4 separate regions of the Mus musculus genome follow, and all the other regions are reported to be linked to region 1. Evidence: microRNA targets listed by miRTarBase, many of them from high-throughput screens and not tested one by one. Region 1 holds a microRNA gene; each other region holds the end of a gene's coding sequence.
What was found. Region 1 holds the annotated microRNA mmu-miR-133b-3p (UUUGGUCCCCUUCAACCAGCUA, at 1,116-1,137, opposite strand). A microRNA usually pairs through its seed, bases 2 to 8, with sites in the 3' UTR of a target mRNA and lowers its output. Matches are read on the target gene's strand: a 7mer-m8 pairs with bases 2 to 8, a 7mer-A1 pairs with bases 2 to 7 and ends in A, and an 8mer does both.

Region 1 (3,158 bases):
GTGAAGCAATTTTTAGCAAAAAGCATTACATACGAACAGTACACACTAGGATGAATGTATGCTGCATGCTAGTAGAATCAATAGTGGGAATATAAGTATACCAAAATTAATGTAAAATTTATTTTGGAAATATTATCTTTTAAAATTTGTTTTTCCTTCTCTGGGAGCCATGCCTCTGGGCATGACACCATCATTGTCATACAGCAAAACACACATTCTCTGAGTGATTATGGCTGGTTATTTACAGACATTGTCCTCTCAAAATCTTAGAACAATAGTGTGATCCAGGTCACTCTTTCCATTTACTGGTGAAGAAGCAACTAATGTTTTTACGGAGGTAACTGAGGCTATTTGACTGAGCGCACATCATAGCTAATCGACAAGATGGGTAGGATTCAAACAGGAAGCCAAGGTTTTACCTTAATTACTGGTATCAGCCACTGGGAGCTAGGCAACCTCTTTCTGTGTACTTTAGTCTCAGTGTACATAAAGTTCTCAGCTTCATGGAAAATGATGTAGAATGTCACGGCGAACTCAGTCAACTATATATACTCATATACATCCATATTCATAGATACTTATATATGTATATATATATATATGTATATATATATATGCAAGCATCCATACACACACACACACACACACACACACACACACACACACACACATATATATATATATATATGAATTATATCTTGGATTAAGCATGTTCTCGACTGCATTTCCATTGTACTGTGTTGTGTTTCCATGGTCAGTGGCCTTACTTATGCTTCTGTGTCCTTGTGAGCAGAAGACCTGTCTCCTATGTATCATATTCTGCCACTGACTGGTCTAAGGTTGGCTCAAGTTCCATCCTTAGCATCATTAGTGGGTGTGCATGGAAGATGTGTGCATGGCTCTAAATGTGGGTGATTTAGAAGGTGTGTGTGTGGCAGAGGATTCTGTGTGTTGAGCATGTGACCTGTGAACTTGGGCTTTCTCCTTTCTTCTTCCTTCTTGGGAACATAAGGCTATGATGGCAAAACCAGCATTACTTTTCATAAGCAAGGCTGTAGCAGCTATTTTCTCTTCTCTTCTCTTTCTCCAAATATTGAGCTTTGCCAGCCCTGCTGTAGCTGGTTGAAGGGGACCAAACCTCTCAGGAAGACGGACTTGGTTCCGTTTGACCAGCCAGAGCAGGGGGCCACTCCCTTTGGAGGTGACTGCAGCCTGAAGCTTGTGAAGTCCTTGGAGTTTGAGCACCACTTGTCCAAGCCTGTAACAGAGAGAACCACATTAGCATGAATCAACCCCAAAGAGAACATTATCCTGACTAACCTCTCACAGAGCTTGAAAGAAATCTCACAAAGTCGTATGCTTTTTAGTTTTTATTTATTTATTTTATTTAGCTCTTATTTTTTTTTCAAATTGGAACATTAGGCACGAAAATGGAATACAGTTATAGAATATGGAAAAAATAGACACTCTTTTCTTTTATATTCTAAAATAACCTTAACATTGTCAAGTATATTTGTATGCATATGTAAATGTACATTATATAACCCTCTATGAATGTATCATGTTTGCATTAAAAATGAAATATAAGTGGGTGGGGAATATACAGTAACTATGATACTGAGTTTCTTGTTTTCTTGTAATTTAGATGTTTTTCTTTATAGCTTTTCTCATTTATGCATGTTCTGAATCAATATATTTTAATATTATAAATATTTATCTGTGGCATTTTAATTTTACCTTACATGATATCTGTAAGGCTCATTCATATGAATATGGTAACTACAATTCACTAATTTACATTGTTTGACAGTTTTTTTATTATTTAAATATATTATATTCATTCCTTCTCCCAGTAATAGCTATCACAGTCCTTTGGTTTGAAAGAATGGGTGGAACTGACTTTAGTAGAGTCTATCGAGGGAAACAGAGGCATTTTTGGTTCTTGTAGATCATGAAGAAGTCTGGATTCCAGTATGTAAGAACTTACAAGTTGACCTTTTAAGCGAAAAGTAACATTTACCACCCTGACATACCCAGGAGTGGGGTCCCCAAACTCATGTACCCTGCTTTCCCAGTGATTCTGAGGTATCTAAAGTTTGAGAACCATTGAATAGAAGGGGTATCCTCTGCTTTCGGCTTGTTAGTAGTAAAGTGAGATCAAGTGTAGGTAAGAAGGAAAGGCTCCCCGAAAATATGGCTTGCTATCTCCATAAGGTATTGGCATAAGGAGAGGAAAGATGTAGGCCGAAAAGATAGTTGAGTGCTTGCAGAAAACCAACTTTCTCCTTTGGGGCTAGTTACTGGCTAACATGTTTTCTTCTTCTTGATAAATAGAAGTCATTGAGAAGAAAGTATGGCCAGGCAGTGGTGGCACACACCTAAAATTCCAGCACTTGGGAAGCAGAAGCAGATGGATCTTTGAGTTTGAGGCCAGCCTGTTCTACAGAGTGAGTTCCAGGACAGCCAACACTACACAGAGAAAGTCTGTCTCTAAAAACAAAACAAAATAAAACAAACAAAACCATCCTGAAATTTTCTGGGTTCAAAATCCACTGATGCATTCTTGATTTTATTTATTTATTTATTTATTTATTTATTTATTTATTTATTATTTATCTATTTATTAATTATTTATTTGATATTGAGAATTTGATACTGAGAAATATCATATAATGATGTTTGGTATTGAGGTGTTAAGTAGCATCTTGACAGGTCAGCATGTTTGTCTATACTGTGGAAAACATGCCTAGTTTGCCTCTTGTGAATTTTGATAGTAATGAAGGGTGTTCTAAGTTCCTAGGGTACACAGAGGAGACTAGCAAGGCTTGTAGGAGAGTCTGAGGGGCAATTATGCCTGCCTCTGAGGCCAAAACTTCACTTTTAACTCCATCTTGCCTAGAGAGTGTGCCCCATCACTCATCAACAAGAATTTATACTTATCTGTGAATGTGTTAAAATCCACTGGACACGTTTAGAAGTGAGGTAGCCAGGTGCCTGGCTTCTTCCAGATGGACTCTAGTTAGAGAGGCCTGTCTCGAATCATCAAGGTACCTCATACTTTAAAGCACCCAACAGGGCACTGCAGAAAAGGCAACTGGATAAAGGCACACCTATCATGTATGAATGTTGTGATGAGAGAAATTAGCATTACAAAATAC
Region 2 (3,158 bases), not on the chromosome of region 1:
AACAGGGAGCCTCTGTCAGATGAAGTGAGGGGTGCACATACTTTGTTATCCTTCAGCAAGCCAGAAACACACACCCAGGGCACAGCTGTTTAGATCAGCACGAGGTATGAATGCAACAAGTACTGGGTTCTGGCAAGCACCCCCTAATATTAGTCATATAGCTAGTACAATATCCTAAATATATGTCATCCATCCTCCCTGCAGGTGAATGACAGATACACAGCTTATACCCTGTCTCCATTAAATAACAGACACTAGAAACACTCACGCCAGGCACAGACTACAGTGATCTGATCCGTACATTTGAGACTTAACACCAGGCTACAGAAACACCTTCTTGCCTGAGGGATTCTCCCTTTCCACCACAACCGAGATTCTCCTTTCAGCCGACCCCCAGTGGGTGGGCTGAAGTTTCTACCTTCCGGAATCCACAGCACCTCCTCTACACTGTAGCCTCCTTCTGAGATCTTTGCGGGGGGGGGGGGGGGGGAAGGAGAGTGCATTCTGAGCCGAACAGGCTTCCCTTGATCCCAGCAACATTATAATCTAGATATCACCCTGACATTCCTAAGGTTAGACCTTCGGTTAGCTGAAATGAGGACCCATAGGTTCACACCCTTAAGCTCTTAGCTTCTCCCAGCTCGTTCCTCTGGACCTGTCTCTTATCCAGGTAGAGAGAGAGGCAGGTGACAGATTCATGGTTATGCATGGGATCTAAACTCCTGTTGCACGAACCCTCAGCCACTCACTGCCGGATCCAATATCTGTCACCCCATTGGAAAACTGAAGGCCAGCCACCTCTAGTCAACCAGAGAGATTTCATCTGCAACCAGGTCAAACACCTTTTGTATCTTCTTGAGAGCATGGGTCTTAATTCGTTATTTGATGGAGCTCAGTAAAGAGAAAGCAAAAGCCCACCTCCGTAGCATATTGTACACTAAGTCCCACCTGAAACACCAAGTTTCCTACACTTATTTCAAGATAAATGAATGCCAATTGCTAAAAACAACGGTACGACAAATCACCGATTACACTGTAGAAAAGCTTGCAGCTTCCAAGGTGTTTCTGAAATCTGGATTTTATATTAAAAAATGTTACATATATTTTTGACAAAAAAATTCTTAGACGTATGAGGATAGCAGTGGAAACACAGCGTACGCACCTAGTACAATTATGTAAGAGGCAAAATATAAACTTACACGAACGCAAAACGAGAACAAACCTTGCCTACAGTAGCCTCTAGCGAGGGCCGGGTATCTTTGCCGGTGTGAAACAGCCGCAACAGACAAACGATGACACAGAAAAACAAACAATCTCCTGAAAAACAAAGCAGCAGCGACAGCCCAAAGCGCCTGCCACCCGGGTTGTCCTCAACTCTTGTTTGTGTCACTTTTTAAAAGAACACAATTTTTCTTGAAAGGCTCGCTCTCTTAGCTAGCTAGCTGCTGAACTACGGTGTAAAAGAAACAATGCAAGTCCGTGTTAAAAGAAAAACAAAAAACAAAAAAATTTATTTGGGAATTGACAAGGGACGCCCTCACACACGTACAAACACAACAAAAGTGCTCTAGTTCCCTCTAGAAAATTTGGTCCCCGAAAGACATTACTCAACCACCAGGTCACGGGATTTCGGGCCAGCCGGCTGGGGCCACAAGCCCGTGTGGGCCGGCCATGACGAGTTTCACATTTCTCCTTCCGAAGGTGGAAGAAACAAGACATTGGAAAAACAAAAATCAGGGATAGGAGTGTCATCTGGGCGGTGTGTACCAGCCAGGCAGAGATCTCTTCTGGCATCCGGGGCAGAATCGGAAGATCCGGGGAAATTTGTTTTGAGTTCAACTTTTAAATAGAAAAGAAATTCCTAATTTGTAGTGGAAACCTTATTTTAGCTAGTTATTTTCTCCTCCCTCTGAACACAGCCTAATGAAGTCACCACGGGAATTCTTACACAAATTTCCCAGCAGGGTCGATGAAGAAAACCAAAACTTTTGATTTTGTTGTTTGGTTTTAGCAAACTCCAAGGCCATTACATTTCTCCTCCCCACCCCCCCATGAATGTTTTATTCTCTCCCTCTTTCTTTTTTTCTTTAAAAAGTATTTTTTAATATTTTCAAAAGCCTCACCAATCTTTTTCATAAAGACCTGGCCTGGAGGTGCCCTATGCGGTGCTCTGCGGAGCGGAGGCACCACGGCCTCACAAGGAGCGGGGGATGAGAACTCGGTTGCAGGCCGCGGAACGAGGCTGTCCCTGCTCCAGCCTGGGGCTCAACCCCCGCCCCGCCCAGTGGGCCCCTCTGCAAGCGGCTTCTGATCAGTTCCAGGAGGGATCGCAGAGCGACCAGACACGTTCTTTCCATTCTCCGGTAGTGTGGGTCCCTCTTCCCCCAGCAGCCTAGCGCTTCTAGTCGCAGACAGTCGGGGTGGGGAATTAAAAATAAAATCGAGCTTGAGTCCACCGACCTGGAAGAGAGGGCCAAGAGGTAAGCTGCGTCTCAGACACTTCGACCGCACCTCGGCCGGGGACTCACTCCCTGCGGTGAGGAGAGGAGGCCCGCGGAAAGCACGGAGTGGGCGGCCTCCGGCCAGCAGCACGGGAAAGCAGAGGCCGCGGCGGGGAAGAGCACCGGAGGAGCAGCGGAGGCGACAAAGCGGAGTCGCAGGAGCGGGGCGGACCGAGGAAGGGCAGACCGCTCGAGGGCTCTGCATCCAGAAGCTGTCCCGGAGTGCGCGCTGTCAGGCTGGCTGCTGCGGCTGCGACCCGAGCTCGGCTCCTCCACTCCCGGGATAGGGGTGGGGGACCGCTCCCGCGCGCGTTGGCACTCAGAGATCCAGACGCGAGTGCAGCGCGCCCGTCTTGCTGTCGTGGTCCCAGTATGAGCAATGCATCATGGCGAGCTCGGGTTGCCGGGCGCAGGCGAACTGCAGGCCGGGCGCGCTCGTGGGCGCGGGTGCCGGGGGCGCGGCGGTGGCCGGGCTGGCGGGACTGAGCTGACCCGGGGGAGGCGCGGCAGCCCCGTGGTGTGGCGGGGCTGGCGGGGGCGCAGCGGCCGCGTGCAGATGATGTGCGTGAGGGTGCGGGTGAGGGTGCGGCGGCGGTGGCGGCGGCGGTGGTGCGGCAGGAGGGCCCCCCAGGCCGTTGTAGGAGTTCACGACGCCCG
Region 3 (3,158 bases), not on the chromosome of region 1:
CATCAGCTGTTCATCAACTTCCAGGACCTGGGTTGGCACAAGTGGGTCATCGCCCCTAAGGGGTTCATGGCAAATTACTGTCATGGAGAGTGCCCCTTCTCAATGACCACGTATTTAAATAGTTCCAATTATGCTTTCATGCAGGCTCTGATGCATATGGCTGACCCCAAGGTCCCCAAGGCTGTCTGTGTCCCCACCAAGCTCTCGCCCATCTCCATGCTCTATCAGGATAGTGATAAGAACGTCATTCTCCGACATTATGAAGACATGGTAGTCGATGAGTGTGGGTGTGGGTAGTCTCGGGACTAGGCTAGGAGTGTGCTTAGGGTAAATCCTTTAATAAAACTACCACCCCACCTTTGGCTTATGCTCTCTTGAATCGGACATGTCTGTCATCATGGTTCATGAGCCCCACAATTACACACATTTGTGTATGACTATGGACCCCTTGGTGAGCTTACTTAATTTGTGCTCATTATGCATAGTAGCTGGGCTTCTTGTTCTTGTTTGAAACAAGGTCTTATTATACATCTTTGCTGGCCTTGAACTCATGGCAATTCTCTTTCCTCTACCTCCTGTGTGCTGGGATTACAGCTGTGTGCCACCAGGACCAAAAAAAAAATTTTTTTTTTTGAAACAGGAAACATGGTCTCTATACCAGGCTGTCCTATAACTATGTAGACCAGGCTAACCTCAAACGCACAAGAGATCAAACTGCCTCTGCTTCCTGAATCCTAGAATTAAAGGCCTGCCCTGTACCATATTATATCCAATTGTATATCTTAAGATTTTAAAATTATTTTGAGAAAATATAACATAGAAAAATTTACGTGAGCTTTAAAAATGTTCACTTGTTTGTTTTATGTGTGGGTGCTTGTGTAAGTGCACGGTGTACATGCAGGAACCCGTGGCGGCCAGAAGAGGGAGTCAGATCCCCTGAAGTTACAGGTGATCATGCGTCTCCTCCATGTGGATGCTCAAGTGGGTCCTGCACAAGAGCAGGCAGCGCTCTTACTGCTGAGCCAGTTCTTTTTTCTGTGTAATCCTGGCAGTCCTGGAACTCACTCCGTAGACCAGGCTGGCCTCGAACTCAGAAATCTGCCTGCCTCTGCCTCCCAAGTGCTGGGATTAAAGGTGTGCGCCACCACCGTCTGGCTTCCTGGGGTTTTCTTAATAAATTTACTTCAACTGAATTATTACAGCAAGATTTTGTTAAGGTGTTTGAATAGATATTGGATTATGTGTACACGTGTTTGATACTTTCCTATCCTTTTTTTAAAGGAATTATTTATTTATTTTTTGTATATAAGTACACTGTAGCTGTCTTCAGACACACCAGAAGAGGGCATCAGATCCCATTATAGATGGTTGTAACCTACCATGTGGTTGCTGGGAATTGAACTAAGGACCTCTGGAAGAGCAGTCAGTGCTTTTAACCTCTGAGCCATCTCTCCAGCCCCCTATTTTTTAAAAAATAATTTATATATATAAATATATGTATTATAAAATTATATATAGAAATAATTCTATTTTATGTGCATTGGTGTTTTGACTGTATATATGTCTGTACAGGGTGTCAAATCCCTTGGAACAGGAGTTATAGACAGTTGTGAGCTGCCAGGTGGATGCTGGAACCTGACCCTGGGAGAGCAGCCATTGCTCTTAACCACTGAGCTGTCTTTCCAGCCCAATTCTTTCTTCTTCTAATTAGCTAGAGCTGACAGCTTGGCACAGCCCAGAGTTATTATCTCAGGGAGACTCAATGGGGAATTGCCTTGATCAGACCGGCATTCGGGTTATGTCTGAGGACATCTTATTGATGGTTGATTGATGTGAGAGGGCCCAGCCCACTCTGGGCAGTGCTACCCCTGAGCAGGTGGACCTGGGGTGTATAAGAAGAAAGCTGAGAGGCTAGAGAGATGGCTCAGTAGTTAAGAGCATGCGCTGCTCTTGCAGAAAACCAGAGTTCAGTTCCCAGCTCCCATGTACTCTAGTGCCAGTAAATCTCACACACACACACACACACACACCTAAAAATAAAATAAATAAATAAATAAAATAAGGAAGAAAAGAAGAAAGAAAAGCAGGTTGAGCAAACCATGAGGGAAAAGCCAGTATTCAGCATTTCTCCATGGTCTCTCCCCTTCAGTTTCTGCTTCCTGTTCCTCTTTTAAGTTTCTGCTCTGACTTCTCTCAGTGATGAATTGTTCTCTGGGGTGTAAGATGAAAGAAGTCCTTTCTTCTCCAGGCTGTGTTTGTTTGTTTGACACAGCAATAGTAAAGCAAAGCAGGACCTTTCTATAAAAGTTATTAAAAGGGAGGCTGGAGAGAAGGCTCAGCAGGTAAGAGGTGACTGTGGCTAAATTTTGTGCACTGGAGTTCAGAACCCAGCAACTATGTAACAAGCCTGGTGTTCTGCAAACACCTCTCACTTTGGTTCTGAGGGGTCCTACACTCTCTTCTGTACACACACACACACACACACACACACACACACACACACACATCTGGACTTTTTGTTTATGTGAGACAGGGTTTCTGTGTAGTCCTGGCCATCCTGGAATTCTCTCAGTAGGCTATGCTGGTCTTGAACTCAGAGATCCGCCTGCTTCTGCCTCCCATGTGCTGGGATTAAAGGCGTGCACCACTATCGCCTAGTTCAAAAATCATTCTTTTTATACATCTGTAATCCCAGCACTTGGGAGACAGAGGTAGGTGGAACTCTGAGTTGAGGCTAGCGTGGTCTATATAGAGAGTTATAGACAGCCAGAGCCACATAAAGAAATCTTGTCTCAAAAAGTAGGAGAAAAGAAGAAGAAAAGAAAAGAAAAGAAGAGGAGAGAAAAATAGTAAAAACCTTGTTGAAAGGATATTGGTGGGGTGGCCCACACCTTTAATCCCAGCACTCAGGAGGCAGAGGCAGGTGGAACTCTGAGTTGAGGCTAGCGTGGTCTATATAGAGAGTTATAGACAGCCAGAGCCACATAAAGAAATCTTGTCTCAAAAAGTAGGAGAAAAAAAGAAGAAAAGAAGAGAAAAATAGTAAAAACCTTGTTGAAAGGATATTGGTGTGGTGGCCCACACCTTTAATCCCAGCACTCAGGAGGCAGAGGCAGGTGGATTTCTGAGTTTGAGCCAGCCTGGTCTATAGAGTGAGT
Region 4 (3,158 bases), not on the chromosome of region 1:
AGGTCCCGAGTTCAAATCCCAGCAACCACATGATGGCTCACAACCACCTGTAATGAGATCTGATGACCTCTTTTGGTGTGTCTAATGACAGCTAAGGTGTACTCATATAGAATAAATAAATAAATCTTGAAAGAAAGAAAGAAGGAAAGAGAGAAAGAAAGAAAGAAAGAAAGAAAGAAAGAAAGAAAGAAAGAAAGAAAGAAAATAGACAGAAGGGACCTAGGAGGCCCAGGTTCCACCCCCCTCAAGGGGTCCAAAGAGCTCTCAGGAAGGATAGGTCTGACGCAAAGCCCAGGCTGTGTGTTCTTGGGTAAATCATTTACCTCCTCTGAGCCTTATCTATGATAGGAAAGTATTCTTGTGTGTTTGAAGTGCTTCATGCAGGGGGCTAGATGACATGCCCAGACAAATTGTGACACATGTCACAATCACATGGAGATGTAGAATGCTACCCACCTGTGAGTGGCCAGGCAAGGTAAAGCATGCTTGTCACCTCAGTACCCAGGAAGTTGAGGCTGGAAGACTGAGAGGTCTGGGACAGCCTGGGCTAAACAGAAACGCCCTGTCTTTAAACTTGGAACAGAGACACCTACTGCCTCGTGTCCTCCTTTCCCGGACAAGCTGTGAAACCCCTTCCCTGTTGCTTCAGATCCCGCCCCAGGCAGCGACAGCTAGCCTGTCTTTCTTCCGTTGTCCCATGCAGCCAAGGAACTGGAGGACTCACTGTTTCCAAGAAGGGCACACCCATCTTGCCATTTTCGAGGGAAGCTTCTCCCCTATGTCACCCTGTACACTAGCCCTTCCAACAATGTCTTCTTCGGACCATATATCAATGTCTCTGAGTGCTCGTGCAGTTAGCATCTGTCACCACTGCCAGAGGGTGGGTAGGGGACTCTATGTCTGCTGTCAGGCAAAGAGAGTGGCATCTTGTAAGGAGGAGTGAACTGAAAATAAGATCAGGATACTTCATTTGTGGGTTATTTTATTTTATGTATGTGAATGTTTGCCTGAATGTGTATCTGAGAACCATGTCTGTGAGGACCCATAGATGCCAGGAGAGGAGGTTGGATCTCCTGGGACTGCCACATGAGTTCTGGGACTCAAACCTGGGTCCTCTACAAGAGCTGCCAGTGCTCTTAATTGCTGAGCCTCCAGCTCCTTACTTGCATTTTTTTACATGTTAAAAACCTTTGTCTGCCGAGCGTGGTGGCACACGCCTTTAATCCCAGCACTTGAGAGGCAGAGGCAGGCAGATTTCTGAGTTCAAGGCCAGCCTGGTCTACAAAGTGAGTTCCAGGACAGCCAGAGCTATACAGAGAAACCCTGTCTCGAAAAACCAAAACCAACCAACCAAACAAACAAACTTTGGTCTATGCACCTGCCACACTGTGTGTGCTACTGCATGTGTGTGCAGGTCAGAAGACAATGTGTAGGAGTTGCCTTCTATTCTCTTTCTCATGCAAATTCTGGGGTTCAGATTCAGGTCATCATATTGAACTGCAAGCCATCAGAGCCATCTGAGCAACCCACACTTGCAATTTTAATTTGTGTAGGTGGATTAAGGGGGAGGTGGAATGAATGGATGGATATAAGGAGGGAGGTAGATGGAAGAAGGAGGGGAAAGAGAGAGGGAGAGAAGGTGGGTGGATGGATGGATGGATGGATGGATGGATGGATGGATGGATGGACGGGTGAATGGATGGATGGACAGGTGGATGAATGGATGGGTGGGTTGATGGATAGGTTGTTAAAATGGTGAATGGTTGATAAGTGGGTGGGTGGATATTTTCAAGGCTATTCCAAATACTTCACACGTGACCTAATTTTAATCAACAGAAGTCCCAGGAGGGAATGACATTTTATTTACAAACAGCATTTGAAACATCACATCCCTCAGGGCTATGCAAGCTGAATACTGTGGAGCAGAAAATCAAGCTTTGGCATGTCTAACTCTGTGTCCTTAGCCATCACGGAGACCCTTTCCCCAATACCCTATCCTCTAAGTGCCCCATGATGTTGCCCAGGTTAGCCCTCTATTATCCTCATTCATGGCTCTCATGTTCAACACTTTGCCCTGAGTGCATGTGGTGGTTCAAAGAGGTCTCTATACGAATATCTATCTGTAGGTGGTGGGGCCTGGAATGTTCTTTGGATACTCCCCAGTTTCCCAGAATACAGTCATGATCCAGTTGAATCTATAACACTCATAAACAGTCCCAGATGTGCGAGCTGACAGAGAGCAAGCATTATGCTTCAGGCAGGTGCTGTATCAGCCACACACCCATCTGTTCACCACATCCGTGGCCATGAAGAAGCTGTGGTCTCATAGGTGGACACAGGCCAGTCATCCCACACACCAGGCAGCCCCTGTCCCTCAGTCACCAAACTAGTACCCTGAGCCACAAGTAAATCTACCCTGTGCTGACGAGCAGGGCAAGGAGCATGGGCCGGGGGATGGGTGCTGCAAGTGTGCCCACTGAAAGCCTTGTCCTGCCCTGTATCCTCAGTACACAGGAGACTCGGTGGCTGGCCAGAGAGCAGAGACTACAGCAGAGCTCAGCAGTTCTTGTCATTCTCCTGGATCTCCACATAGGGTAGCCCGATGACCCAGCTGTCCCGGGGCCAGTAGTGGACTTTGAGGGTTTTATCTGGCATCTCATACTTTGCATCCACCAGGGCCATGGTCACGATACCATAAGGAAATGTGATGCTTATGAGGACGTGCCTGTGGTTAAGAGAGGGCAGGGTAAGAAATCGAGAGATGCCCCCAGCTCTACCCAGTCTTCTTAGGTTCTCACAGATGCTAACTTGGCTCTTTAGATCCAGGCAGCCAGTTGTAACCTCTCCCTACCACCTCTATATCCCAGGGTCTGGATCTTGTCCCTCTCCCACTCTTGCACCCCAGACACTTCTCTACTTGGAGTGCATCTGAACTCTGACTTGGGTTCTTGGGATCCAAGAGGGGTATTTTACCAAATGCTGTGCAGGTAGTAGAAGTGAATCCGCTGCCAGAAGCTGCAAAGTACACGGTCACTGATCCAGCTGGTCAGTGCAGCGGCCCATAAGACCACAGAAACCGCAATCAGATGCCGAAGATCATCATCCCTAATCCTGGGGACAAAGAGAGAGCCTGGGCTGGGGGTGGGTGGTGAGCTGCT

Region 2: the mRNA of Foxl2 is a reported target of mmu-miR-133b-3p. Seed matches in the 3' UTR shown: 8mer at 1,586-1,593.
Region 3: miRTarBase lists Gdf3 as a target of mmu-miR-133b-3p. Seed matches in the 3' UTR shown: 8mer at 608-615.
Region 4: the mRNA of Acer1 is a reported target of mmu-miR-133b-3p. Seed matches in the 3' UTR shown: 7mer-A1 at 1,365-1,371.

Annotation. Positions count from the first base shown.
Region 1 is chr1:20,680,813-20,683,970 of GRCm38, reverse strand. It overlaps Mir133b (microRNA 133b), which reads right to left and starts at 1,202; the gene lies at 1,084-1,202. Lincmd1 (long intergenic non-protein coding RNA of muscle differentiation 1) reads right to left here. Exons shown (of 3, transcript NR_131249.1): 3 at 1,013-1,258.
Region 2 is chr9:98,956,451-98,959,608 of GRCm38, reverse strand. It overlaps Foxl2 (forkhead box L2), which reads right to left. Exons shown (of 1, transcript NM_012020.2): 1 at 1,483-3,158. The coding sequence ends at 2,821. Among named protein-coding and RNA genes, the nearest start is that of Foxl2, 2.4 kb to the right of the region's middle.
Region 3 is chr6:122,603,445-122,606,602 of GRCm38, reverse strand. It overlaps Gdf3 (growth differentiation factor 3), which reads left to right. Exons shown (of 2, transcript NM_008108.5): 2 at 1-1,200. The coding sequence ends at 297. Among named protein-coding and RNA genes, the nearest start is that of Apobec1, 2.6 kb to the right of the region's middle.
Region 4 is chr17:56,952,523-56,955,680 of GRCm38, forward strand. Acer1 (alkaline ceramidase 1) reads right to left here. Exons shown (of 6, transcript NM_175731.4): 5 at 2,974-3,111; 6 at 968-2,725. The coding sequence ends at 2,557. Among named protein-coding and RNA genes, the nearest start is that of Mllt1, 19 kb to the left of the region's middle.